Notamacropus eugenii: one gene and its partners. The protein of the gene in region 2 interacts with the protein of the main gene of each other region in a pairwise test. Links are inferred from orthologs where the notes say so. Each region holds a gene or a part of one and is shown on either strand. Other genes may lie near its edges.

Evidence for each region.
Region 1: the proteins of TRIM32 (region 2) and RABAC1 interact in binary tests that used the Homo sapiens proteins (3 or more experiments, as listed by UniProt). The two-hybrid records come from large-scale screens. The link is inferred for Notamacropus eugenii from reciprocal best matches to the Homo sapiens genes TRIM32 and RABAC1.
Region 3: the proteins of TRIM32 (region 2) and uteroglobin-like interact in binary tests that used the Homo sapiens proteins (3 or more experiments, as listed by UniProt). The two-hybrid records come from large-scale screens. The link is inferred for Notamacropus eugenii from reciprocal best matches to the Homo sapiens genes TRIM32 and SCGB1A1.
Region 4: the proteins of TRIM32 (region 2) and CLIP4 interact in binary tests that used the Homo sapiens proteins (3 or more experiments, as listed by UniProt). The two-hybrid records come from large-scale screens. The link is inferred for Notamacropus eugenii from reciprocal best matches to the Homo sapiens genes TRIM32 and CLIP4.

The regions. Positions count from the first base shown.
Region 1 is NC_092876.1:25,773,608-25,781,625, reverse strand, and holds the start of RABAC1 (prenylated Rab acceptor protein 1), read left to right. Parts: upstream 1-4,960; 5' UTR 4,961-5,118; intron 5,119-5,220; 5' UTR 5,221-5,241; coding exon 5,242-5,303; intron 5,304-6,023; coding exon 6,024-6,239; intron 6,240-6,902; coding exon 6,903-7,000; intron 7,001-8,018. UniProt on the Homo sapiens protein: General Rab protein regulator required for vesicle formation from the Golgi complex. May control vesicle docking and fusion by mediating the action of Rab GTPases to the SNARE complexes.
Region 2 is NC_092872.1:436,320,069-436,327,456, forward strand, and holds the start of TRIM32 (E3 ubiquitin-protein ligase TRIM32), read left to right. Parts: upstream 1-4,313; 5' UTR 4,314-4,398; intron 4,399-4,455; exon of another isoform or gene 4,456-4,536; intron 4,537-7,388. UniProt on the Homo sapiens protein: E3 ubiquitin ligase that plays a role in various biological processes including neural stem cell differentiation, innate immunity, inflammatory resonse and autophagy.
Region 3 is NC_092873.1:15,569,502-15,576,606, forward strand, and holds uteroglobin-like, read left to right. Parts: upstream 1-3,982; 5' UTR 3,983-3,994; coding exon 3,995-4,106; intron 4,107-5,820; coding exon 5,821-6,008; intron 6,009-6,346; coding exon 6,347-6,370; 3' UTR 6,371-6,512; downstream 6,513-7,105. UniProt on the Homo sapiens protein: Binds phosphatidylcholine, phosphatidylinositol, polychlorinated biphenyls (PCB) and weakly progesterone, potent inhibitor of phospholipase A2.
Region 4 is NC_092872.1:530,826,563-530,833,529, forward strand, and holds the start of CLIP4 (CAP-Gly domain-containing linker protein 4), read left to right. Parts: upstream 1-3,824; 5' UTR 3,825-3,899; intron 3,900-6,967.

The DNA of each region.
Region 1 (8,018 bases), on a different chromosome or scaffold from region 2:
ATGAGGTATCAACCTAGATGGCTTTTATAGTTCTGTTGGGGGTGTAAGCTCAGTTCCATGTGGATAGTCTCGGGCGGGTGAAGGTGAGAGCTTCTAAACCTTAGAGTTCTCATGAGGCCCCCCAGGAAACAGCAGGGAATTGAGGAGTGAGATCTCGTGTATTTCCGCCTCTTCCCGTGAGAACGTGATGGGAGAGAGCATCCCCGCCCTCGAGACTGGCCCGGATCTGGGCACACCTATTGTAATCTAACAGGCACGGTATTCAGGTGCAAACTATGCGGCAGGAGAGCTTAAGTAGGGTCAGGAAAGCCCGAAGGCGCTCTTAGCGCTGAGGGGCCCTTACAGGACAGAAGGCCCCTTTTCCTCTCTTCGCTCTTCCCTCCCCCCTCTCTCCCCACTTCCACTTCTGCTTTCATTCTCTTACTGTAAGATCTTTGCCTCCTTGGGAGATTTCTCTCTCTCTCCTAAGGAAGAGTTCCCCCTGCACATGTAACCAGGACCCTGAATAAAGCCTAACCCTTGTTCGACTCCGGAAAGTCTCTTCTCTCATACGTTTATCCGGTTTGGCCAGCCGAAGACCTGCAATAGGTAAGGTAAGACTCGGGTAGCCCTCAGGCCTCTAGGCCTGGCATAGTTCCATATCCTGTGACTCACAACATGTATTGAGTGTCTGAATACTAAGGCTCCGAGGTACCACAGGGGCCACAATGCAATACATGCAGGGGTGTGCTGGGGGCAGCTCGTTCTGGCTCTGACAGCTGATTATTATTTTTTCAGCATGAATACTGACACCTTGGAAATCAGAAAATGCTACAAAGCAGGGCTGGATTCACTGTTTTGTGGATTGTTCAGACTTAAGAAAGTGATGAACAAGACGTTAATGGTGAAGGCTAAATGTAAATGTGTGTTCTGAGTATATTTTTTTCAGTCAGTTGTTCAACATTTATCACCATGCACCCCTGTCAATGGACCAATGCTAAGGCTCCTACAATGTTCCGTTATTATTATTTTGTCAATATATACATCAGATTGCCAGAAATTATGTTTCCAATTATTTCCTGAGGTCCAGGACTACTGCTTCCAAAGCATACCGTGTGTCAGCCATAGCCACCTTCATGTACCTGTGGAGTCCTGGGAAACCAGAGAAGACCTCTCCAGATAGACTGCCAGATCTGGAGTCAGGAAGACTCCTCTTCCTAGCTGTGTGGCCCCGGGCAAGTCATTGCACCCTGTTTGCTTCAGTTTCCTCATCTGTAAAATGAGCTGGAGAAGGAAATGGCAAACTACTCTAAAATCTCTGCCAAGAAAACCCCAAAAGGGTCTATGAAAAACAGGAAATGACTGAAGAACACAGGCCTCTCTTGCCTTTACCCATTTATAAGCACGTGTGTGCTTTACAGTTTGAAATCCTATGACTACCACTCTCCCAAGAGAAGGGATGAGGTTCTTTCCAACTGGAGGAGGAGGAGATTTCTAGTCTCTTTCATTCTTTGGGTTCTCTTCAAGCTTTGGGTCTTTTTGACCTTCTCCATCCCCTTGGGCACTTCTAGTTTCTAGCTTTGATGCCAACCCCACTTCAGGATGAAGGAAAAGCCTTGGGAGAAGCCAGCATAAGAAAGGGAAGTCTCCATTGTGGCCCTGTCCCCACCTTGCCCCACTAGAGACTTTGGGGAGTTTTCCCCATGGTGAGATCTAGGACTCTCTCTCCTTTCAGCTGTTACCCCGCTCCAATGGGAGAGTTCCTTCCCTCTGTACTGTTGGGTGTAGATTCTCCCACATAGACATTCTCTGATGTGATTTTCTATCCACTCGGATAGAGATGGGTCTCTTTGCTACTTCCAGTGTGTGTTCATTGTGGACCTGGCATTTGATGGAAAAGGAGTCAAGTCTTGGATACAAACCTTGGGGTCCCACTCTCCCCCGATAATGAGAGAGCCATCAGAAGTTAGACAGCCCCTGACAATCACATTCCCTAGATGACAAGACTGAAGGAGCAGATAGAGAAGTCCAGCCTGGTACCCTCTCTCCGAGGAGAGCAGAGTGGTCAGCCTCTGGCCTTACCCTCTTGCTTCTCCCCTTATCCTCTCTCCACATCCCCACAAGAATGGGGAGGAAAAGCTAGAGATGCCTATTTTTAGAGCCACCACCCAGACACACTCAGGCTACACGTGGAGGACAGCCCTTGCCACCACACCAGGGCCTCTCCACACTACCCTGGAATCAGTTCGACTACCCTACTCCTAAGGACTACAACTCCCGCAATCCCAACGATCCAAGACCTCGTCCATTTCTTGGACCTCAGTACTACAACTCTAACAATGCCCTCTGCCTGAGGGCTACAACCTACCCTACAGCTCCCACAATTCCAACAACCTAAGGCGTGTCCATTTCTTGGGCCTAAGGACTACAGCTCCCACAATGCCCTGCTCCTTCAGACACTGGAACTACAACTGTCATATTATCCTAGATCCACTTCCCCTTAGTCGTGAGGGCTTATGGAAAACTATGACAAAACTTGGTTGCCCAGAGAAGTTTATCAATATAGTACATCAATTTCATGATGGCATGTTTGCTCGGGTTCTGGATAATGGACAAAGCTCTTGTGCCTTCCCGGTCACTAATGGAGTGAAATAGGACTGTGTGCTTGCTCTCATGCTTTTTGGCATGATGTTTTCAGCCATGTTGACAAATGCTTCCAATGAGGATGAACACGGCATCAAGGTCAACTACCATACTGATGGTAAGTTCTTCAATTTGAAAAGGCTACAAGCCAAGACCAAAGTGGAGGGAATGTTGGTGCATGATTTTCTGTTTGCAGATGACTGTGCACTCAGTGCAGCCTCTGAAGCTGAGATGCAACAAAGTATGGATCAATTCTCTGCTGCCTGTGCTCATTTTGGACTAATAATTAACACCAAGAAAACACAGGTGCTCCATCAGCCACCACCACACCATCCATACATGGAACCATCAATTTCAACAAATGGAGAAGTTTTGAATGTTGTAGATAAGTTCACTTACCTTCGTAATGTACTTTCCAGGGATGTACATAATGACAATGAGGTTGAGGCATGCATTACCAGAGCTAGCTCAGTGTTTGGGAGGCTCCAAAGAAAAGCTTGGGAGAGAAGAGTATTAGACTGACTACCAAACTGAAGGTCTACAGAGCTGTTGTGCTGACTGACCTCATTGTTACAATGCTTGTGAAACATGAACAGTCTACCAGCACCATGCCAGGAAACTGAATCGCTTCCACTTGAACTGTCTTAGGAGGATTCTGAGGATCACCTGGCAGGATAAGGTACCAGATACTGGAGTCCTTGCTCGAGCTGAACTGCCAAGTATTCAAACTACGCTTCAGAGAGCACAACTCTAAGGGGCTGGCTACATTGTTCAAATGCAAAATGTACACTTGCCAAAAAGATTACTTTATGAAGAACTCGCATGAGGCAGGCGATCACATGATGGGCAGAAGAAATGATATAAGGACACTCTCAAGGTCTCTCTCAAGAACTTTGGATTTGATTGTGCAACATGGGAGACACTGGCACAGGACCGCTCAACATGGTGTGCCCACTTAAGAAAAAGTGCTGTGTTCTTTAAGCAAAGCAGAATTGAAACAGCACAAAGTAAATGTAGGATGCTCAAATCTGAGACATCCACCCCAAAATTTACACGGACTATCTGTGCCCAACCTGTGGTAGAGCATTTCGAACTCATATTGGTCTGATCAGCCACAGTCAGACATACTGAAATTTCACTTTATCATAGTGATATCATTTTGGTTCTTTTGAAAGATGAAGGGCAACAACCAAAGATCCACTTCCCCAAAGTCACCTTAAGGATCAGAGTGTGTGTGTGTGTGTGTGTGTGTGTGTGTGTGTGTGTTTGTCCTTCGTTGCCAAAGAAAACCATGCCATAATGACATGACTTGCACTTGACTTTGTTTTGAGTGAAGGAGGGTTGTGCAGGTCACCAGCATCACTTCTCCTCCAGAGCCATCTGAATCCAGTGACCAGATATTCATCAGGATGACTGGAGATGACCCAGGATGAGGCAGTTGGGGCTAAGTGACTTGCCCAAGGTCACACAGCTAGTGAGTGTCAAGTGTCTGAGGTGAGATTTGAACTTAGGTCCTCTTGACTCCTGCACTGGTGCTCTATCCACTGCACCACCCTATACCAATCAGATCAAAGAACGTTCCTTTCTTTGCAGGAACTTTGCATCTATGTTGTTTTAGTATCTGGATAAAAGTGCGAAATTCAAAACCAGTCAGAACATTTCAAAATAGTCAAATGTCTGAATCTGGAAAAAAGTAGGCAAATGAATTGAATTCTTGCAGATTTTTTGCCTTGAGTAGCTACAGATGTTACTTAAAGGTTACTTTGCTATGTGTTTAACTAGTTTGGACATTTATGAATAGTTTTACAATTGAATGTGTTACCCTGATCAGTGACAAGTAGTCGGAAATGGAGTCATCCTTCCTTGGCAACATCAATAAATACCTCTGAAGAGGAATCTTTTCTGGACCCAAAGCCTTCAGAAGATTTTTGGCTATCTAAGACCTACAAAAAAGTCCCAAAATATAATAAGATGTCTTCTATTTTCCTCTTTTAATCATTTTTATGAAGGAGGAATCTAGGGATCCAAAGAAGGAATCGAGGCCAATGAGATCTTCAGTACTCAACTTTCCAATTCCTTGTCATTTCAACTAACTTGGTTAGAACCTAATGAATACCTCCTTTACACTCTCTTTTGCAATTCCTAATCACTTGGTAGCTGTACCTAACTTCCCTCACCAGTTCTCACTAACTGAAACTCCCTCTACCTATGTAAGTTGGCACATTCTCTGTAATTTATAGTCCTAGAGAGTTAGGATCAAAGGACCAGAGAGAGCCCCAAAGAACGCCTACCAAGCCCTCCCCCGCTCCGAACTACAACTCCCATGATGCCTTGCTCCCACGCCTCTCCTTCTGGTAGGCCAGAATCCGGCGCAGAAGAGCCCGAGTTCCCTCCACAGCCCTCGGACTACGACTCCCAGCAGCCTCCTGGCCACGACAAACGGTCCCGCAGCCACTTCAGATCCGGAGGCGGCGGCGGCGGCGGCAGCAGCAGGGGGTGAGTTAGAGGGGCCCGGGCCGGGAGGATGCGGAGGGGCGTGCGCCCGGGGGGGTGCCTCCTGGAGGCAGCAACAAGGCTCTCCCTGCTCTCCCCCCACAGCCGTAGGAGCAGCTGGAGAAGATGGCGGCGGGAAGCGACTTTAACCCCGGGACTGAGGAGGAGAGTCCGGGGCTCAGTGCCAAGTGAGCTGGGACCCCAGGACTGTGGGCCCCCATGCCCCGGCACCCAGGGGTCCGGACCCCCGCCCTCCAGGAACCAAGAATTCAGACGCCCAGTGCCGTCCCTCCCCCAACCCTGCATGAGTCCGGACCCCCATCCTTACCCCCTTATCCAGCGGTCCAGACCCCCATCCCATGCTCTGGGACCCAGGAATTCAGATGCCCAGTCTCACACCTCCTTCCTCAACCCTACAAGAGCTCAGCCCACCCCCTGGGACCCAGAAAGTGCTGTCAGCCCCACCCCAAGACATAGGAATTTGGACCCCCATTCTCACCTCCCAGGCACCTCGCTGTCCCAGCACCCAATATCCTAACCTCCCAAAGTCCTCTCTGGGACCCTGGCGTTCAGACCCCCAGTCCGTGCCCCAGTGGTGGCACTGTCCTCTCTAGCCCTACCTCCTTCTCTGGTGTCCAGATCCCTAGCCGTACCCCGTGGTTCCCTGGGGAACCCTAGTGCCTTGACTAGTGTCCGACTCCTATCGGAGACCCAGCTGTCTTGACTCCTCATGCCCAGCTCCTGGCAGCGGGACTCAGGCATCCTGATGTCCCAGTTCTGCCCCCTTCGGGCATCCTTCTTCCTTCATCCCCTCGACGTGCGCCTCGGGACTCGTGTCCTGGTCCCGCACCTCCTGCTGCACTTTGGGACCTTATCCCCTACCGAGCCACTTTCCTTGTCTGCGCTAGGACACTGCTGCCCAAGTTGATGCCGGCGGGCTCAGCCGGCCGGGAGTGGCTGGAGCAGCGCCGGGCCACCATCAGACCCTGGGGCCCTTTCCTGGACCAGCGGCGCTTCTCGAAGCCTCGAAACCTGGGCGAGCTGTGCCAGCGCCTGGTGCGCAACGTCGAGCATTACCAGAGCAATTACGTCTTCGTCTTCCTGGGCCTCATCCTGTACTGCGTGTGAGCCCCGCTCCTCCCCAAGACCAAGCCACCGGGCCGATACTGGTCCCTAAGATACATACTGGGTGTGAGCCCCGCTGCTCCCCAAGACCTAGCCACCACTGGCCCCTAGAATACATACTGGGTGTGAGCCCCGCTCCTCCCCAAGACCTAGCCACCGGGCCGAAACTAGCCCCTAGGATACATACTGGGTGTGAGCCCGGCTCCTCCCCAAGACCTAGCCACTGGCCGAAACTGGCCCCTAGGATACATACTGGGTGTGAGCCCCGCTGCTCCCCAAGACCTAGCCACCACTGGCCCCTAGAATACATACTGGGTGTGAGCCCCGCTCCTCCCCAAGACCTAGCCACCACTGGTCTGTCAGATACGTACTGGGTATAGGCCCGCCCCGTGGCGCAGACTTAAGGAGAAGCCCCTGGCCCCTGTGACACAGAGGTGCAAACCTGCCTTCAGGAAGCAAACTCGGTTGAGACCCCCACCTCCCCCAGGGCGTAAACTTATTGAGAAGTCTGCTCGATTAGCTGGGAGCCCCGCCCCAAGGCGCCTCCTCTGTAAGCTGTAAACTCCGCCCTCTGGTCAGGGTCCCAGCCTGTGACCCTGGCCCTCCACCAGGCCAGTGCTGTCTCCAGGCAGTCTCTGAGTCTCTACCCACTGCCCCCACAGGGTCTCGTCCCCCATGCTCTTGGTGGCCTTGGCTGTCTTCTTCGGAGCCTGTTACATCCTCTACCTTCGCACCTTGCAGTCCAAGCTGGTCCTCTTTGGTGAGGCTTGCCCCCGCATTCCCCAGGGAGAGGGCATTGGATTTTGAACCCCATCTCTTGTCTCTTTATCCAGAACCTGCCCCAGGGCCTTCTTGGATAAAGGAGGCAGTTGGGCCATAAGGCTCAGAAAGCTGGCCTCCCTGATCCATTGTCCCAGGTGTTCCAATAGCCACACCTAAGCATCCAGCTTCCCTCCCACCCAGGGAATGAGGAGAGGCCTGAAAGGGCCCTTAGGGACCTTCTAGGCCAGAACTCATTACTGGCCAACTCTGAACTGCCCCTCTCCCCTCTGGAATCTTCAGGAGAAGAAAACTGAGGTCTTTGTGCCCAGCCTCGTGCCATCTAGGAATGCTAGATGTAGGGTCAGGAAGACCAGAATTCAAATCCTGCTTCAGACACTTATTACCTCTGACCTGTGACCAGGCTTCTGTAAAATGAGGGGTTACCTCACCCCGTGCTCTCTTTGGCTCTACAGTTCTCTTGTTCAATCCTCCTCCCCAGAGTAGGAGCTCCCCTGCGAAGTCCCCCCCCCCCCCAGGCTGGGGAACCTATCCCTCTCATTGACAGATCAGATCTCTGAGGGAGCTCAATGGCCTTGGGGGCTACCTAGAAGGAGATGCCTGTGACCTGGTCCTTGAAGGACAGATTGTTCCCTGGGCTGTCTGGGAAGACTTCTCTGCAGGGGGGATTATTGCTAATGGACCTTGATGAAACTCCCAGAAGAAAAGAGATTCCCCTTGGGGGAGGGGAGTTGGTGAGGAGTTCCTGGAATTTGGCCTTGAAATACAAGGCAGGGAATAAATTTTTAAAAATCCAAGGAAAAGCTTGGAGAAAAGAGTCCCCTAGGGGCCTCTGGATGGCCTGCCACAAGGGAGGTGGGAAGCACTGTAGGAGAAGGGACTTCTGCCTCTCTGGATGTCTTCCACAGAAGGTAAGGATTGTTATGGTAGGAATTCCTCTTTGTGTATGGACTAGATTAAGGTTCCACCTCGCCCATTCTGTGATTGGGGGGCGGTGT
Region 2 (7,388 bases):
AAGTTATGTTACCCACTGATTCAAAGATGTGCTGTGACTTCTTATTAGCTCCTAAATAGAGTTCCGTTTCATTTGTCTTATATTCAACACTTTCTCTAATCTGGTACATCTCCTTCCTTCCAACCTTGATTGATCTTACTTTATGCACCTGTCCTGTACTCCAACTAAAATTTTCTGTTACCCTAATGTACCATGTATTCTTCTGTCTTCTATATCTTGTAGATTACTTAGTCCAACCTATTTGTTTTGTATATGAGGAAATTGAGGTTCTTAGAGAGAGAGCAGCCAATTTCAGGACTCCTGACTCTCAGGGCTCTTCCTTCTACATTTCACTGCCTTAATGGTCTTCAGCCCAGTCTGGACTTCTGCTCATTTCTTGGTACTTCATAATGTGTCCCTCCATCCACCTCTTTACTCACTAAATTTTGACATACTTTAAAATCCAACTTATACTACACTGTACCTCCACTATGAAGCCTTCACCCGTGGATCTCACGTTTGTAATACTTTAGTGCATTTATGCAATATCATATATTAGGTTTATATGTGTTTTACTTTTCTTACTTAATGGTAAGTTTCATGAGGACAGGGACAATGTTTTCTCTAAATTCTATATCTCAGTCCTAGAAGAGTTTTCTCATATAACAGGCACTTAACAAATGTTTATTAAATGAATGAATACTTGTCATCTCTAACAGATTATAAAATCTTTGGAAGCAGGAACTATATATTATACTTCTCCATAATTATGTTGAAATTACAGAGAGCCCTAAGGCAACATAATGAATTCTGATAAATTTTTGTGTGTCCACGATATGCTGCCTGGGAGGCAAGGATTTAGTCAAATGATCCATTTGAAAGCCCTGACCTAAGAATTGGGGACAAAGGGGTTGGAAGAATAGAAAAGATAATTTCACATTAAGGGCAGGGATTGTTTCAACTTTGGTTTCTATTCCCAGTGCCTAACACGGAGCCTGATATGCAATGGGCACTCAATACACACTTGAACTCCCTGAGCTCCCACAGCTAGTAAGTGGTAGAGCAACGTTTTCTTTCAACCCATGAAGTCCTTCCCCTTGGACCACTTGTCATTGATTTTAGAGAAATCAGAGGGTTTGGGGCTAGAAGAGACCTTGGAGATCACTTATTTGGCCTGTTTCAGTCATTTTTCAATCATGTCCAACTCTTTGTGACCTCATTTGAAGTTTTCTTGGTGAAGATACTCAAATGTTTGGTTTATTTTCTTCTCCATTTGGCCTAATCCACTTATTTTATACAAGAAGAAACTTGGGTCAGAGATGTAAATCCATTAGTCCAAGGTCACATAGGTAGTAATAGAGATGGTACTCAAACTCAGGTCCTCTGCCCCACATGCACCAACTGAACTCCTGGGACTCCCGCTCAGGAAGGTGAGCCCTGAAGCTCTTTCTAAGTCAGAGATTCAGATGATATGAGTCAAAACGGGAGGGAAGCATGAGAGAAGCAAGAGAAGAAGCAGAAATTGGGGTAGAATAAAGGCCAAAGTGTCTCCCTAGTACATTCCTACATTCAACACCAGTTGCCACAGGTGCCATAATATCCATGACCCCTTTGGTATTCTCCTGTTACCACCTTACGTAGTCCTCTCAGATCAGTGTCAGGGCCATGTACACTCTGACAGAGTAACTGCAGCCTGCCTTGGAAACCTCACCAGAAACCACAGGCCTATGGCTCCTCAGGGGAAAGCTAATCACTCATCAGTTAAGTGTGTCTCCCTCTTCAGCAAGATGAAGCGTGTTTCAGAGAATGTGATGCCCTAAGTCACTGTGAAAGTGACACCTCCCTTATATCTGCTTGTAACTCAGGCTAACATATTCCCTACTCACGATGGTGCAATGCTGAGTTCCTTGGTATAGGACACACAGGTTCCCTGGAAACACAGTATTTCTGGGGTACCTAACCAGCACAAAACTGTGCTTAACCAGAAAGGTCACTGCTTTAGGGTCAGAAGACCTAGGCTCATAACCTGGCCATCCCCCTTTTTATGGGAGGTTGTACAGGTCATTTCACTTCTCTTGGCCTCACTTTTCCAAACTTCAAAATTAGGGTGTCCAACTTCTGAGTCAAGGGCCTCTGGGGTGGGGCTGTGAAGCTATTTCAAGGGATCCTTGAAGATATGCCCCAAACAGTACAATTTCAATCCTTATTTTGCTCCAACAAAATATTCGGCTAAATGCACAAGTAAATGTACCTTCTATAGACTCAATATCCCTCAGGTTTCCATTTTTCAAATATATATCTATATTATTTATTGTACTTTAATTACTTTTTTATTAGTTCATATTATTTATACAATTTATAGTTTTGCTAGGGTTGGTAATATCAAAATTACTTTAAATAAATTACTGAATTTATAGTAGCACTTTATTATCACGCATATCCTCAGTCAATGAACCCCATGGTACAACTAGTATTGTATGTGGGGAGTTCTCATATTTGAAAAGGTTGGAATCCATTCTTCTAGATGACCTCAAGCCTCTAATCCTAGGCACTGGCTTCTTTGCTATGCATGTAACTGTGGTCCATGTGGTCAAGGGGTCCAAATGATTCTGTGCTCATATGCATGACCTCCTTAGAGTGTGACTTCCTTACAGGATGTGAGAGCTGGAAGGGACCTTAGAACATAGAATAAGGAATGTTAAAACTAAAAGGGATATTAAAACAAGGAAAGGATAGAAAACAAAGTTTTAGAGTTAGGAAGAAAGACAGAAATCATCTAATCCAACCCATTCATTTTGTAGACGAAGAAACTGAGACCAGAAAGGGAAACCCAAAGACAGGTATGCCGACTCCCATTCTAGGGCTCTTCTCACTGTACCACACTGCCGATATTACGGCCCTTAGCCCAATCTCATCCCAAAACCAACTACATAAAAATTCCTGTCAAATTCCATACCTCATATACCTGTATGACCTTGGGCAAACCTGTGGAGTAGAAAGAACCTCTGGAGTTACAGGACCTGAGTTTGAGTCCTAACTTTACCACATACTACCTCTGTGACCTTAAATAAGTCACATAAGATCTCTGGGAAACTGTCTGCTACTTTGTTTCCCTATTTCAGATCTCTTACCGGTTCAGTCCATCCACCACATCTTCCAAGGCAATTTTCATTAAGCTTTGATCTGGAGATGTGATTTCCCCTTATTCAGTCAACTCCAGTGACTTCCTATTGCCTTGAGAATAAACCACAGACTTCTCTGTTTAGTTTTTAAAACCCTATCCAGACTGGCCTCGACCTATCTTTCTTGCCTCTTTGGATATTACTCCTCCTCCCTTACTCTGTAATTCAGATAAAATGGACTTCTTTCACATCTTATTACCCAGGAAATTTTATCTCCCCTCTGTCTCTTTGCACTGGCCATCCATCATGCCTGAAACGTACTTCCTTCTTACCTCTGCTTCAGAGACCTTTCTATTCCTTTATGACATATCTTAGGCATCATCTTTTACATGAAGCCTTTCCTGACTCTACTACCTTGTGTATAATTAACTACTTCATATGTATTTGTATATTTGTATTTTTTAAAAAATAATTTTAGTGGTATCTGATTTTTCACATCACCATAATTTCTCCCAGTATTTCTTTTCCTCTTCCCTCTCAGAAAGGCATCTCATACAACAAACATTTTTAAAAGATTAAAAAAAAAAGAGGACAAAGAGAGAAATAAGAGAAAAATACCCAGCAAAATCAATCAATATATCAAAAAAGTCTCAAAACACATGCAGTGTTCCGCACTGGCAGACCTCCCTCCTCTGCAAAGGAATGGGGTGAGGGGAAGGGGTATCTTCTCACATTTTTTTCAGGGTCTGGTAATTGTAAAATACATAATCCTTCAGCAGAATGTAAGTTCATGCCAAAAAACTGTTTCATTCTTTGCGTACTAGCACCCCTTGCACCTGGCACTGTGTTAGCCGCGTTTAGTAAACACTTGATCGATGTGGGCCTCAGTTTCCCCATCCGTAAATGCCCCTGGGCTCGGATTTGCCCGCTAAGGTCCCTTCCAGCTCTAAATCCTACGGTGGCATGAAGACCTCTCGCTGTCCATGGTCCCCGTCCCTGACACAAGCAGTAACACACCTCTCCAGACGCCTCCTTGCTGCTTAGGCGTCTCCGCAGTCAGGGTCCACACCCCTCTATGCTTCTCTTTTCCCTATCCGACTCCCAGGCCCAGCTCTCTGAGCGGAGAAATAACTACAACTCCCAGACCACCTGGGAGAGAGGGGGGTGGAGCCAACTTCTGATTGACAGGCGACGTGCCGAACCCTCGCGTGCCGCCAGCGGAGAAGCCTGGGCGCGCGTGCGCAGAAAAGTCGTTGGGAAAGGCTGCGTCGGGAGCCGCAGGCGGCCAGGTAGAGAGGTAGGGAAAGGAGGGGCAGGGGGAACGGGGGGTCGGGGGAGTGGGGAGCAGAGGGTGTGTGCCCCCTTCTAGGCAGCGAGCGGGCCTCCGCATTCCGTCCCCTGAACACCCCTCTTGCCTTGTACCGGGAATGAAACGGTGCGGACCTAGGAAACCCCGAGGGGGAGGGGGAAGGACCGGCGAGGGGTGGGGGGCCGGGGGAAGAACCGGGGGAGGGGGACCAGAGGAGACCGCCCCCCCCAGCCTTTGGGTTGGTGCAAGAAGGAGAACAGTACGCGGCGGGTAGGGGGACAACTGGTAATGGAGTTAATGGTGGACACCCTGGGATGGGGATGGGGGGCGGAGGCAGAGGACCCGATCCTGGGCCTGGGGGAAGGAGCCGGTTGAGAAGAATGACCCCGCCAGGACCAGGGTGGAAAGGGGTCCATCCTCCTGGAGTCCTGGGGAAAGCCCTGGGGAAAGGGGGGAGGGGCCCACCCGGGGGCTTTGATGTGTCTAGATTGTGCAAATAGGTCAGTTTGGGTGTGGCAGCCGGTGGGTTGGGGGGCAAGGAGTCAAGGAGCCAGGATGCCCAAGGCTCGCGTCCGTGTGACCCAGAGACGAGTCCGAATGGGGAGGGGAGGGACCACAGACAGCAGGGGGTCTGGAGAGAGGGGTGAGCAGTGCTGTAGAGACGTGGCACACTGGTACCCGAAGTGCCGGTTCTCAGCAGTCAGCCCCGTCATGCCCTTTCCCTGGGGGCAAGCGTCATTCAGCTTAATCTCTCAAATGCACTAAAGCAGGATTTGGGGGGATCATGGTGGAAAGAGTTCAGAAGGGTTGTAGGCTCACAACTCATTGTGTGACCTTGGAAATGCTCTCGTTTGTGGAATTCAGGGGGACGGAGGGTGGGCAAGGTTTGTAAGGAGGTTTTGTCTGATTTACTTTTCTTCCTTGTGTCAAGCACCGGGATGTTCCTGTTGTTATGTTCAGTTCTGCCAGTCATTGGATTCTTTGTCCTAGGCCTGAGATGCTATGAGCCTCAGTTTCCTTCTCTCTAAATTGAAAGGGGATTTCATTAAATGCTTTTTAAAGCCCTTTCTAGCTCTGACATTCTATATTCTAACATTTCATTTTCTAATTCCTCTTATGGCTTTAACATTCCATATTCTATGAACTTGGGTGGTAATAAAGGTATCGTATGGGTCTATATGTCCCTCTGACACCTTGGTTACTTTTACTGAAGAGTCCAGCAAGTTAGAGTTATCATGCAGCATCCTTCTGCAGTACAGAGAACTCACCAGAAGCCAAAGACAGATGGCCTGGAAAGTGATAAAGCAGACTGTGCTGTTGCTTTCTTAGTTGGAATGGGGAAATGGCTGCTCACTGATTGCATTCCCCACGTCAGGGAGAAAATACAAAAGTCTTCAAAGTCCCAGAGTTGGAAGGGACCTCAGAGACTATCTAGTTTAAACCATACCTGAACAAAGATCCCTTCCTCAAGAGACCTCGAAAATAGTCAGATGACCTTTGGATTTGTGAGGCATGACATTTTGAGGGACACTAGTCAAGCTAGCCCAGTGAGGCTAGAAAGAACTGCCCATCATCTTAAGTCCAGAGCCCTGATAACAGAATTGCCTGAAACAGCTAGACAGTGCAGTGGATAGAATGCCTTGACTGGAGTCAGGAAGACTCAGTTCAAATCCATTCTCCAACACTGAATGTCTACATGACCCTAGGCAAGTCACTTAACCTTTGCTTCAGTTTCCTCAACTGTAAAATGAGGCTAATAACAGTAGCTGTGTCCTAAGGTTGTGACAGTATGTGTAAAGTAATTAGCACAGTGCCTAGCATATAGATAATAGGAGTTTAATAAATGTTTGTTCCCTCCCACTAAATTCTAGGTGGTGTAGTACAGAAGGCAGAAAAAGAAAGTAACGTGCCATTATCATTCCTCCTGGTCATTTTAGAGAGTGAATTGGTGGCATTACTCAGCAAACACCAGGGCCAGCTACTGCAGTGATGAGGAAATAATTAACTGTTCTCTTTGAAACACTGCTCAGGTGAAGACACTGAGCCAGAATGTCTTAAGTGACTAGCCCAAGGTCACACATCCACTAAGAGTCTGAGGCCACATTTGAGCTCAGGTCTTCCTGACTCTCTAGGCCCACTGTTCTTATCCAGTATACCCCCCAGCTGCTTAGGCAAGACCCTGCAACCATTTGCAACTTGATTGGATTTTTTTTTTTTAAATTCAGAAATCCTGTAATTCCTTTCCTTGCCGTAAGAGGGAAGTGACCCTGGGCTCTTAAAGGCTATGCCAAGTGAACATAAACTCTGATAGGTGAAACTAGCCTGGAAAAACTTTGAGTACAGCCTCTGGAAAAGATTTTGCATTTCTCATCCAAGAGCCACCCTGGCTAAGTAAAGAGGGGCTCATATCCACAAGGTTGGCTATCTAGTGATTAATATTTTCAGCCACAACTCACATAGTCTAATAATACTAAGAAGCCATACTAAAAGGTTGTTGTGAATCAGAATTATTTATGGCTCTAGGCCTATATCACTTGCCAAAATATGTATTTCCATTACATGTTCCAAGACTCCTTCCTGCCCCTCAAAAGGACAGTTAGGACATGATCACTTACTTCAAGTACCGGGCTGTCTTATGGGGGAGGAAATCGACTTGTTCTTTTCAATGGCTAGAAGTTTCAGAAAGCACATTTGGGCACAATGTCTGGAAGAATTTCCTAACAATTAAGAGTTTTCCCAAAGTATATGACATGCCTCAAGATCATGAATCCACCCTGCTTGGAGGTCTTCACACAGGCTGAATAATAACTTGTCTGGTATGCTATGATGGGGATTCTTTCAAATTCTTAATTTAATTGTTAACATAACAAATACAACCCCTGCTTCCTCACATGCTCAGTTATTCTCAAGTGCCTTACAGAATTCTCCTGTGACTCCGCACATATGTCAGTAAGAGGACTGTCCCAAGGTAGGGGGAA
Region 3 (7,105 bases), on a different chromosome or scaffold from region 2:
TATTTGTGCTAGAACTAAGTAAAGAATTCAAGCCCCATGGGGATCTAGAAACTGGACGTCTCTGACTAAAGGATGAATTCATTCACTCATTCATTATTTGGTTTACTCAACAGGCATTTACAAAACTTACAATTGCACACATTCCATTTATCATGATCTGGAACATTCTATTTATATTCCAAATGTAAAGTCCTCCACTTGGATTCAAAGTACCCAAGCACTTATGTTCCAAGTGTGGCTAGATAGCAGGTTTCTTGAAAAATATCTAGGGGGCTTAGTGGATCATTAACTTGATATGAGCTGGCACTGGTATCAGGTATAAAATCAAAGCAAGAATATGGCAACCAAGAAAACTTGGGAGGCAGCATGACTGATACAATGATTTGGAGTCAGAGGACGTAGATTCAAACCCTTCGTGATCTTGAAAAGTCACTTAATCTCTCTGAGGCTCAGTTTTCCCTTCTGCAAAACAAAGACATTGGCCTCTAAAGCCCCTTCAAGCTCTAAATCTATGATCCCAATAGCCTATGAAAGTTCATTTGAGATTAAGTAGCATTGAGAGAAGTTGAGCATCCCCAATTAGGATGAGTCTTGTTGGGGGGAGTTTGAGTGGAGAACAATAAACTTAATTAAGGACAAAATATGACTCTTGTAATAGTTCTGCCCTCCTCTGCCCTGGTCAAGAGAGGTTCCACACTTGAGGAAGGACTTTGATGAGCCAAAGGAGTGACTGATGGTGACCAAGATGATAAGAGGAGAACAGAGGCTTCTATCTAAAAGAACTCAGGAAATTTAGCCAGGACCAGCCATGGGGATCAGAGGGAGAAGGGGCTCACTTTGCTCTGTTTGGCCACAGAGGGTTGAACAAGAACTATATGTGCACCCGGGTCCTCCGCCTCCACAGACAGCATTCTCTCCAATGTGCTGTCTTCCTTCCCTCTAATTTCCGATATTAATACAGCCAGGCAAAGGAAATGCCAGGGGTCATTTAGAAGCAAATGAGGTTAGCATCCAGCCCATAAAGACTCATCTGTAATCTGGCCTCCAGAGCTCACCAGGATACCACTGGTCCCAATCCCAGGCCCCTGATCAAGAATGGTCTGGTCTGCTTCTATGCCTCAGCCCATTTGCAAAAGCCAGCAGAATCAGCTAGCTTTCCTCACCTCCCCACCTCCAGTGAAATCCAGGCCCCTTTTCCCATTCCAAAAGATCATGAAGATGTCATTGACCCTTCCCTGATTCACTGTAAGGGGGAAGAGGGGACCTAGGCTTTGAATCAACTTTTTCCTTAGCATCAGTTTGTCAGAGAACCTCTCCCGTCTCCAGGGGAAAGGATCCCCTCCCCATCAGAGGGAAGACTTTTCACATAAAGATCAGGCACGCTCCAGAGTCCCAAAGTGCCCCAGGAGTCTGGGACTGGAGTCAGACCATTTGGATTCTGTTCCATGAACTGTCCCTAGTGGCTTACTTTCTCTGAATCTTGAGGAAGAGAGCAGTCTCCTTATCTAACCTAACCTTTCTCATGGAGCTATTGGCCACAGGATGTGAGCCAGTGCATGCAGGGAACTTGGGAAATCACAAAGCACATTATAAAGATCAGCTATGATTCCTGTTGATATGACAAGCTGGTAACAAACCAGGGGAATCCTCTCTGGTCAGCCAGCAACTTACATCATAGATATGGCACTGGAGATGGCCTTTAAAGAGTTAGTCCAATCCCCTTAGTTTACAGAGAAGGTAGGAGAGGAATGAAGGAAAAGAGCAGGCTGTCCAACCACATGAGGTTGGGCCATAGGTCTTGAGTGCTGCCCCTTGTCCGATAAAGGCAGAATGATGCAGTGGTTAGAGCACTGGACTTGGCATTAGGAGAAGAAACATGGCTACATTACACAGACCCTTGCCTCCTCTTGCCTCTATTTCCAACCTTTCTGAGAAGTTCAGTGTCATCACAGATGGATGAGAGGGATGTTGGGGCATTGCTAGTAGAAACAGGGGGAAGTAGTGTAAGAGCAAGAGCACAAGAAAAGAGACCAGGCAGGAGGAATCCCAAAGTCCCGGAGATGGCATAGCGAGAACTGGCATTCAGCTGCAGCCTCCACTACAAGCAAATTCTTTTCCAAAAGATGAATTTTCTTTTCAGGAGGCCCTTCCCAGGGGCAGGCCTTTTTGTCTCCAGCCTGTTACAGTACAAACAGAGGATCAGGGACCTTTGTGATCATTCCTCCCTCCCCCCACCCCCCTATTTTTTACAAAGGAGAAAATCAAGACCAAGAAAAAAAGCGACTTGTCACAGAGGGAGAAAGTGGCCAAGCAGAGATTTGAACCCAGGCCCTTTGACTCCTGAGTTGGAATTCTTTTCACTACCCCACCTGCCCTGCAGTATGCTGAGGACGCCACTAATAATAACTCCCATCTGGATAGCACTTTAGTGTTTATAAAGTATCTTCCAAGAAGAACTCATGGTGAAAGAGGAGACTATGAAAGTGCGATTGTCCCCATTTTACAGAGGATGGAGACTGCAAGGCAAACTCAGCTAATTTCCAACATTACATCACTAGGAAGATCCACCAAAGCCAGGACTCAAGTTTCCTGATTTGACCTGGTCTAGCATTCTTTCCCCAAGACCAAATCTCAGTAGCAGCTGCTTACAGGAGAAGGTGATGGCTCAGCCTGAGATAATGGAGTGGGTTTGGACTTCCTGAGGATCAGGATGGATTTCAGATTGGATTCAGCCACTTGGAAGCACAGGCTCTCCCTCTGTGCCAAGGGTCTCAGCATTCCTGTTTAGAGGCCACCTCCTCTGGAATCATTATAGTCTGAAGAAGGAGCCTTGGCCTAGAGCAAGGATTAACTTTGTCTTTCTTTGCATGCTCTGCACTTAGCACTGTGCCTGCACATAGTAGGTGCTTCATAAATACTTTGATTTGATTCGAGAGTCAGGAGGCCAGGATTCCTGCCCCAGCTCTGCAACCAATGAGTTGTGTGACCTTGTGCAAATTCCTTTTCTTCTATTAACCTCAGTTTTTCATCTGTAAAATGGCTAGGGGCAGAAGCTGCTAACTAGGTGATCTTTATCAGCCTTCCTAACTTAGATAGTTTGGATTCTGGGTTCTAAAGACTCTTCCAGTTCTGATATTCTAAAGTCTCTCCCAGCTCTGACATTCTATGTTCTATGTGCTAAGGTCCCTCTGTTCCAGTTTGATGTTTTGTTCTAAAACACAAGCTCCCATCCTCCTAGTTGTCTTCTAAGGTCTCTCTCAGCTCTGACATACTATGGATATTTCATGCTAAGATCTGCTCTTTTCAGTTCTCTCATTCTATGTCCCAAAGTCATAATTCTCCTATCTCTGGAAGTCTCTATTTTGTGTCATAAGATTCTTTCCATGTCTTCTAGCTCTGACACCCTAGACACCTTCTAGCTTTGACTTTCCATATTCTAAGGTGTCTCCTGACCATGACATTCTGGGTTCTCACCATATTCTAAGTAGTCTCTTAGCTCGGCCATTCCATATTCTAATGTCCCTTCCAGCTCTGACATTCTTCATTTGTTTTTTTAAATTAATATTTTATTTTTTCCAATTACATGTAACAACAATTTTAATATTCTTTTCTTTGAATTTTGAGTTCTAAATTGTCCCTCCGTACTCTCCCCCCAAGCAATGTGATATAGGTTACATGTGTGTTGACATTCTGAGGTCCTTTTCACAGTCCCTTCCATCTTTCACCAGCTTTTGGTCCAACTAGAATGAGACCATGCCTTGCCAAGCACCCTGTGGCCACCAGAACAAAGAAGCTCTTGAGTAGTCTCTAAAATGTCACATTACGTAGGACCTTTTTCCATGGGAAAGAGAAGTTCAACAACAGGCAGAATGTTTACACTTTTCACCTAAGATCTGAGTAAATATTGCAGTAGAACCCCTCCTCTCCCCTCCTCCACCCAAGGGGATGGTCCAGGAGCTCCCCACAGGACATAAGAGCGAATCCTTGGTGGGTTATGTTGACAGTACCTCCACCACCTCTCCAGACACAGACTGACCAACCCGGCTCCACCATGAAGCTGATCATTGTTTGCAGTCTGGTTGCCCTGGCCCTCTGCTGCCACTGGGGTGAGTACGTACAGGCTTGAGGCAGGAGAAGGTGTAGATCCGCAGCTCTCTTGGTAAAGTGTAGGGACCCCCAGGAACCCCCAAGACTCTTTCAGGGGGTTGGAAAGGTCAAAATTCATAATTCATAAAAATTATAAAATGTTCTGAATTGTAACACAGTAAATATTGATAGATAACCCACTCAAAGCTCTCTGGGGGAGTTCTCGCTGAGTATAAAAGTGTCCTGAGACCAAAAACCACTAAAGTAGACCATGTCTTCCTTTCACTCCACAATAATGTGGAAAGTGTAAAGATTAGCATGTCAACATTTTCATTGCAGATGAGGAAACTGAGGTACAGAACGATGAAACAACATGGCCTCAGCTTGATTTCAAGCCTTACCATTTGGTACAGGGAGACTTTAGGCAAATCCTTTCATTTCTCTGGGTCTCTTTCTCCTCATCTGTAGAATGAGGGCCCCGAGAACTCAATGACCTAAAAGGTTCTTTCCACCTTTCAATCTGACTTGCCCAAGATCTGGTAGCCAGGAAGTGTCAGAGTTGAGACTAGAGTCTTTTGCCCGAGTCCAGGACTCTTACCATTGCACCATCGAGGATTCGTGACTTTCTCGGTGTCTACCAGCACAGAGCGCAGTTAATTTGGCAGATGGGTTCTAAAGGTTCGAAGAAGTCAGATTACTAGCCCATAATCACAAGCCTAGTAAGTGTAAGAGACAGAATTGGAGCCCAAGCCTTCCTGGTTCTAGGTCCAGAACTCTGAGAGATGATGGTTAGATAGAGTTGGAAGGGTCAGACAGGGTTCTCTATTCATTATCATAGGAAAATAGGAGATAAGTGCTGTTCTCACGCCCAATGTAAAGAGGAAATAACTGAAGTTCAGACAGGCTCTTACATACACATAGATTACACTTTTATATTATATTTTATTATATTTGTATATTGTATTTAAATATGCATACACATATGTATGAATATATATTATATATAAACATATATTTACTAATATATACATAGCCATAGAAAGTATTTTGCAATACTTGAAGACTGGAGGCTATGTCCAACATCCAGTATAGTACCTGGCACTTAATAGGATGAAGAAACGTCTTTTATGTTCTGGGCACTATGCTAAGCACTTCACAAATATTATCTCATTTGATCCTCCTGTGAGGTAGGTTCTGTTTTTATTCCCATTTTACACTTGAGGAAACTGAGGCAAACAAAGGCTAAATGACTTGCCCAAAGTCACACAACTTGTATCTGAGGTTAGATTTGAATTCCAGTCTTCCTGACTCCAGCTTCAGGGCTCTAACCTAGCTTCCTCCACTGGAATTCATAAATGGTATTAGTTTGTTGATTAATTGATTGATTAATTGAGCTATCATTATCGTTATGAATGATATTATCAGCATCAAATATGAATCCGTGAGTCCATGAAGTCAAAATGCCTGTCTGGAGGCAACAATGGATAGAGGACATAGACAAAGAACCAAGTTTGTAGTCTTGGCGCATATTCATTTGGGGCATTAATTCCTGGTGTGACCTTTGTTAAATCATTTCCCTTGCCTGAGTCGCATAGGAAAGGGCAGAACTGACTGACCCTTTAAGTCCTTCAAGGCTCTAACTCCTAGGATCATGGCTGTCCCTCTTGGGGGGCCAGCTGTGCTTGGAAAATGGCTTTGATAAACCCAGGCCTCCCTCTTCTATCTCCCCTCCAGCCTCTGCCCAAGTCTGCCCTACTTTCCCAGAAGTGGCCAACATCCTGTTCAAGGGCACGCCCCAGGAGTATCTCAAAGCCATTCAGTGTTTCCAACCCGATGAGGCCATGGAGGCGGCTGGGAAGCTGCTGAAAGCAAAGGTGGACACCCTCTCGGAGGTGACCAAAATGGACATTGTGAGGCTGATGGTAAATATGGGCCTTTGGGTTCTTCTATCCTTTCCTTCCCTCGTACCTTGATTGTTTGGAGCTTGATTTCCCCACAGGCTGGACCACTATGTCATCCTTTAGGTGAAACTCTCAAAATAACATAAACATTCAGGAAAGGAAAAAAGGCCCCAGGGGAGAAAGGCATCATCTACAATGCCCCCAGTGGGCACCAGCCCAGGTGCCTCCAAAACTTAAAAAAATTCAGAAAGTCACTAAGGTGGCTTCTTGGCCAATTTCCCTGACATGAAAGTGGCTATATGAGATGCTCTCTGGTCAAAGGCCCCTCATCTCATACGCTTTGCTTTATATTTTTTCAGGAAAAAATATTGGCCAGAAACTAACGTCGTCAAGCCTGCTTATTTCATTTCCCAGATATCACCAAATGCCGAATCTCTGAAGGCTGGCTCCCAGTGGTTTCGAGGCCAGGACTCTCCCCAGCCCAGCTCTCTGTCCTTGTCCCCAAATTAAACTGAAAGCATTTGAGTCCGTGTGTCAGACCCTTATTTGTCTACTCACATCCACACAGGGATGAAAAGGGTGAGGGGACATTCTGGGAATAGGATCAATTGTTAAGTAAGAGCTTTTGGAATCCCAGGTGGCCCAGTAAAGGGGGGGGGGGGGGTGGAGCGGGGAGCCTGAGTGTGTTTCCAGCTGTCTTGGGGTGGATGAGCGCAGATGCAGGGTGGGAGGCAAGAGCTCAGGACCTTACTGGTCCCTCCCACCAAAGTCCACAGGGAAGGCATTCAGGGCAAGAGAATCAGGGACAACAGGGACAACCCACAAGCCAGAGACTGGAAATGCTAGTGCTTTTGCTCCCTTGGGTGGTCCAGGGAAACAAGTGGAAAGACTAAGGAGAAAGAGATGTCCCCAACCCACATGACTCCTATATGAGGAGGAGAAAGGCTTTCTGGGAGACACATAGTCAAAATTTGAACCCAGAGCCTCTACAGTACCATATTAACTCCTTAGAGCTGTGGTATTTCAGTGGAGGGACCTATCCTACAAATTCTTGATGTAGGGTTATGAGCCCAGAGCAGGAAGGACTCTTAGACACTCTTGAGACCAACCTCTCACTT
Region 4 (6,967 bases), about 95 Mb from region 2:
CATCCCCTCATGGGAAGTCCAAAAAGAGAGAATCGCATTGCATGGATATTAGAACAAGAACGGAAGCTGCCTTTTCTTTTAAACTGATGCAGCTTATCCCTTTTAAATACTTGGTCTCCTCAGGAAATCAGATATACCTCATTTGGCACATTTGTCCACGTCCCCAGTTTTGAAAAGTTCTCTGGAGTACTGAGGGAGGCTTGAGCCTTCTAACCTTCTAACTACCTTCTCCAGGAATGCTAGAGAGTTTCAACATCCACATGAAATGGTCTTCTAAATCCATTGAAAGAGTCCCAAGTAGTCCATTTAGGACTCAGACAATCTCAAGCATAAGAGCCTTTAGTAAGGGGAAGACCCAAGCTTGCCATAGCTAGTGGGCTAGAAATGACAATCACTCCTAAATACAATGGAAACTCAATAAATGACTAAGTCTATGAGTTGCCCCTCTGACCTCAGTGCATGGTTCTTAAAGATCTAGAATAAATTCCTATCTACTGCTAGTTGTTTAATACAGAGGGTCAGTTTACTTTCATTTTCCTTATGCTGATAATCCAGCTTTTTTTTTTAGAATCCTCAGCAGGATGTGGCATGTGAGTCCTGAAGCACAGGACCATAGGGTGCCAGGCTCTCGTATCAGCGATCATCTGGTGCTGTTATCTCTCCATCTTCCTTTCCCAGAATCAGTCCTGAGGTTATTGTATTCCAGTCCTGCCAAACATCCTAAATATTCTTGGCCAGAACTATTGAGAGTCAATCTAGGGGCTCAGGTTTAGGATTAGAATGAAATGACATAATTGCAGACCATATAATCTTTATTAAAAGGATTCTATTTAACAATAGCATGGAAGAGATGTGTAAAGGGAACAGGCATTTATTAAGTACCTCTTATATGTTAGACACTGCGTAAACACTTTACCAATATAATTTTGTTTGTTCCTCACAACAATCCTGGGAGGTACGTACTATTATTAGCCCCATTTTACAGGTGAGGCACTTGAGGTAGATGACTTGCCCAGGGTCATACAGTTAGCAAATGTCTAAGGACATATTTGAACTCAAATTTTTCTCACCCCAGGCTCAGCTCTCTCAACCTACCTGAGCCACCTAGCTGCCATTTAGCACAAAAAGGATACTCAGCAAGGATACAGCATTGGTTCAGCTGACAGTGCCTATCCTGTGTGGTTGGTCCATTGGGAAATGAGATCTGTCAGGAGAGTTATGGTGACTTCAGTTTGCCTTGTGTTAATTTTGTATATATTTTGAAGGTGTTTATATACATATAAATAGGATGTGAGTTCCTCAAAACCAGAGATTTTTTCATTTTTGTCTTTGTATCCCCAGTACCCAGCACCTGGGACATGGTAAATGGCACTTGATAAAAGCTTCTTGATTGGTCATTTGATTGATTGAATCAAATATTTCTAGAATTGTGAAAATGTTTATTTAGAATCATCCTCCTGGCTTTTGGAGGAGAAGATTGTGTAGCAGAAGAGACAAAAGAGAAGGATTTGAGCTGAATAAGAAAGTTAAGGACATCAGGGAGGTAACTTAGAGGGTCTTAGAAACGGGCAGTTGTTTAGAGATTGATCTGGGGAGAACTTGAAGGAAAGTTGAAAGAGAATAAAATTCAGCAAGGAGAAAGGCTAAATCTGCAGGCAAGAGCAGTATAAACAAGACGGTAAGGGAATAAAAATAACAATAATAAAAATAATGAGGTAATAAAAAGGATAAACAATAACATAAAGGGAAGAATAGGTCAGTAAAAAGTGAGAATAGGTGAGTAAAATAAGTTGGGAAGACAAAATCAGAAGTTCCTAAAGGGCCAGGAAGTTGGATATGACTATCAAGTTGGGGTGACGAAGAATGAAACCTAATAGAACCAGAAGAACAATTTCTATAACAATGACATTGTAAATTCCATTTTAATCTGGTTGGGGCTGTACTTGGGAGGGTTGTGAGCAGCATGCAGTTTAAAACTTCTGGTCTAGACAATGAAGAAAACAATAAATCAAGCCATGATTTGTAGGGTTTACTGGTGTCTGAGTTAAAAGAGCTCACGCTGAAAGTTTAACAATTGACTTTTGTGAGCTACTGTTCTGGCAAGCCCATGAGTAAAAGGACAGGAAAAGCGATTGAGCCTGTGATTTAATTGTTATAGAGAATTCCCAGGCGAGGAAATTCCTTCCACCAATGCAGATCAACAGCTTTTTGTAGGGGTGATACAAAATAAAGACTTCTAAAGTCCCAATAACACAAGTATGTGACACCAGTGTAAGTGAATCATTGTCCCTTCCAGACAAAATTTTAAGACACTTCTAACTTGTTAAAAATCCCCCAATAACTTCCTTTCTCCCAGTGAAAATCACTATATTCATAGATCATAAGATAATAAGACCACAGATTTCAAGCTGGAAAGGGCATTAGAAGTCATCAATTCAACTCCATTTTATAGATAGGGAAACAGAGTCAAAGAAACATGAAATGATGTTTTCAAAGTTGTACCATTGAGCCTAAGAAGCAGCAAAGCTGGGATTTGACCCTTGGTCCTCCCTCTAAATCTATTTCTTATACCCTGGGGCAGCTAGGTGGTGTAGTGGATAGAGCACCAGTGCAGGAGTCAGGAGGACCTGAGTTCAAATCTCACCTCATACACTTGACACTCACTAGCTGTTTGACCTTGGGCAAGTCACTTAAGCCCAATTGCCTCATCCTGGGTCATCTCCAGTCATCCTGATGAATATTTGGTGTCTGGAGGAGAAGTGAGACTGGTGACCTGCACAGCCCTCACTCACTCAGAAAAAGCAAAGTCAAGTGCAAATCATGTCATCATTTCTCTGATGGCATGGTCTTCTTCAGCAATGAAAGACAAACATATATTTCTTATACCCTCTAAGTACTAAACTCCTTGAGGGCAGCAAATACCTTGTCTTCTAGATCTTTATATATCCACAGACAGATGCTTAAATGATTACTGAATGATTCGTCATTTGACATGACAAAATAGGGTAGATTTGTTATAATGAATTCCAAGAAACTGCCCACATGCTTCCATTGTATTTCTATTGTTATTTATGGAATATGGGTAGAAATAATTTCACTTGGGCTTGGAAATATCGCTACTCTTTCTAAGATTTTTGCTGCAATGATATTCATCGTATCTGAACATAGTAAGCACATAGTAGACCCAGATTAAACATTTAATAAAAGCATGATTGATGGATTAATTTGAGCTCTAATAATGAAAAAAAAAGGCTCATGCATTATAGCAGTCTTCAATTTAAATAATGAACCACAGTTACAATGAAATCTTATTATAATACAACTTCTTGTTATCCAAATTCAACCGTACTAGAAGTCAAATCATGTTGTCTCCACAGTAATAAAAGTAACCATGATAATAATAAAGGTTCATTACTACATACAGTTCTTTAAAATTTTACATCTTAGTTTCCTAAATTACCCCATGTGAGGTAGGTAGCCTAAATGTTATTATCCTCACATTTTTACAGATGAGGAAACTGAGAGTAAGAAAGGTGACATGACTCGGTTCACACGGTCAATGTCAGAGTCACATTTGGTGAACGTCTGATATAGAATTATAAATGTATGGAGGTTAACGATTTCCACCATAGTTTGTTTCATGTCTGAACTAGTTGACTGGAAAGAGTTCTCTTGTCTTGTCATGCTGAAAATGACTCCTCTACAGCACTGAGTCCTGGATTAAAATGAAGGTCATTTTAATATCTGTGAAGTGGAAACTTGGATGGGATTGTGAGGCGGGATGCAAATGTAACAATGGCTTCCTTGAGTTCCATTGGCTTCAACCAAGAGCCAGATGTTCAAAGACAAGATAATATCATCAGGGAAACAGCTGGCAAACCTGGCCTCCCTTATGCCAGGTATGATCATGGGTATGCTGGGTGCCAGGGATTATAAATATAAAAGTGAGATAGTTCTGGCCCTCAAGGGAGCTTACACTCTATATCAACCTTGAATTCTTGAAGAATATTTGTTGTTTTCAGGACTGAAGTGATGATCATCACAAAATAGCTCCATTGATACAGAATAAGCTAACATTGGAATGAAGATGAGGGTCTAAAGTATAGCAATCAGAAACAGAGACCTATAGAACTAGCTAAAATTTAGTGTGTTCAATACTGACAGATTAGTTTGATGCCCACTGGAATTTTAATTAGATGTGCAATTAACAGTCACAGTCAGAATAAGAAGGATGGCGATATGTTTGTGTGGTGCCCTTAATAATGTATCCTAGCTGATATTTTATAAGAGAAAGGACTAGTTAACAAGCTTCTAAATTGAATTTCTTCCTATATTTCTATTCCTTGGGTAATTTGAGATTTTTGGTTTAATTAAAATATTGTATTGTCTTCAGGACTTGGTAAATACAAGCATGTTTGTATTTCATGAGTATGTTTGAATTTGACAAATTTGCGTTTATTATAGATTTTAAAAGGGAAGCAGTGTGGTATGATAAATAGAGAGCTGACCTCAGAGCTATGAAGACCTAGATTCAAGTTTAGCCTCTGGTATATACTATGTTTAGTCACATTACTAAGTATCCCAGTGCTCTAGGCCAGAAGGGTGAAACAGAAGCCAAATCCAGTTTAAAATGGGAAAAATTGGGAAATATTTAATGAAATAAATAAAAACACAATAGACTATAGATAATATGCATCTATGGTTTTCCCAGTCAATATGCTGTCTGCAAAGAACGTTATATATGGTTTAGTGAACTCCTTTTCAATTTGAGTTTGGTATAGCTAGGTGACACAGTGCATAGAATACCAGGTCTGGATCAGAAAGACCTGAGTTCAAATCTGATCTCAGGCTAGCTATGTGGTCCTGGACAAGTTGTTTAATCCTGTTTGCCTCAGTTTCCTCATCTTTAAAATTAGCTGGAGACGGAAACGGCAAACCACTCCAATATCCTTGCCAAGAAAATCCCAAAAGGGGTTATAAAGAGTCAGACACGATTGAAAAATAAAACAACCTCTGCTCTAGGCAACTCTTTAAAATTCTAGGTTGCAACAGTGTCTGTGATAAAGGCCTCATTTCTAAAATATATAGAGAACTGAGTCAAATGTACAAGAATACAAGTCATTTCCAATTGATAAATGGTCAAAGGATATCAACAGGGAATTTTCAGAGGAAGGAATTAAAGCTGCCTATAGTCATATGAAAAAATTCTCTAAATCACTATTGATAAGAGAGATGCAAATCAAAACAACTCTGAGGTACCACATCACACCTTTCAGATTGGCTAACATGACAAAACAGGAAGATGATAAATGTTGGAGAAGATGTGGGAGAATTGGAACACTAAGTCATTGTTGGTGGAGCTGTGAGCTGATCCAACCATTCTGGAGAGCAATTTGGAACTATGCCCAAAGAGCTACAAAAATGTGCATACCCTATGACCCAGCAATAGTGCTTCTAGGACTGTATCCCCAAGAGATCCTAAAAATGGGAAAGGGTCCCACATGTACAATAATATTTATAGCAGCTCTCTTTGTGATGGCCAAAAACTGGAAATCAATGGGATGCCCATCAATTGGGGAATGGCTGAATAAATTGTGGCATATGAATGTAATGGAACACTATTGTACTATAAGAAATGATGAATAGGAAGACTTCAGAGAGACTTGGAAGGACTTATATGAACTGATGTTGAGTGAAAGGAGCAGAACCAGGAGAACTTTGTACACAACAACAACCAAAGTGTGTGAGGAATTTTTCTGGTAGATTTAGCCCTTTGCAGCAATGCAAGGATCTAAAAAATTCCCAGTGGACTCTTGAGGCAAAATGGCTTCCACATCTGGAGAAAGAACTATGGAATTGGATTGCAGAATGAAGCAGACCATTTTCTCCTGTGTTATGTTATGTTTTGTTTTATGGTTTCTCCTATTCATTTCAATTCTTCTATTCAACATGACTAAAGTGAAAATGTATTTAATAAGAATGTACGTGTAGAACATATATAAGATAGCATGCCGTATCAGGGAGGGAGGGAGTGAAGAGGGAGGGGGGCAAAGTGGGGGAGGAAGGTGGAAAATCTAAGCTATATGGAAGTGATTATAAAAAACTGAAAACGAATAAATTAATAAAAAAATAAAATTCTAGGTGTCAATGAATATGCCAACTTGAATTTGTAAAGACAGCTTCTGTCTCGAATACCTGGGATCTCCTTAAACCAATGAAATCACAATTATCAATTTAAAAAGCAAAATAAAGCTAATTCAGAATCTCTCTTTTCAACAATTAGCCTTAAGACTGAAAGTAAAACCAAAATATAATTCATAAATTTTCTAATTGGTTTCCCTAGCTACATACATTAGCCAAAGCCTGATCTTAACAGTAACGTACATCTGTATGCACACTCACGTACCCTGTGGGTGAGAGTACAATATGTACTTCAAGACAAAAGACAACAATGACTGAAGTCTAAAGCAAGGAAGAATAATGAGTGAATCGTTAATTATGATCCTAATTATACTTCTGCTGCCAAATAAAATCATTTGTTTAAAGTAAGACATTTTGCTTTGATTAAAGACGTTCTCATTAACTGAAACATGTTAGTCAGTGAGTGAGTCAACAGACATTTATTAAGCATTGGTTTTATGCCAAGCAAGGTGCTAAGCATTGGAGATACCAGAAAAAAAAAAGTCAAAACTCTGGTCTCTGCCTTCAAGGAGTTTATTTTCTAATGGGGGAGGTGACATACAAACAACTATCACCATGCAAAATAGATTCAGTATAATTGGAAACTAATTTCAAGGGAAGGCATTGACAGTCAGAAAACAGAGAAAGGCCAGTTACAATAGATGCGATTTGAGTTGAGTCCTAAAGGAAGCGAGGAAAACAAAGAGGTGAGGAGGCATGGGGGGCAGGCAGCTAGTGAAAACAGACAGGATCTAACCATCAAGGACAGAAGTGTCATTGGATCAGA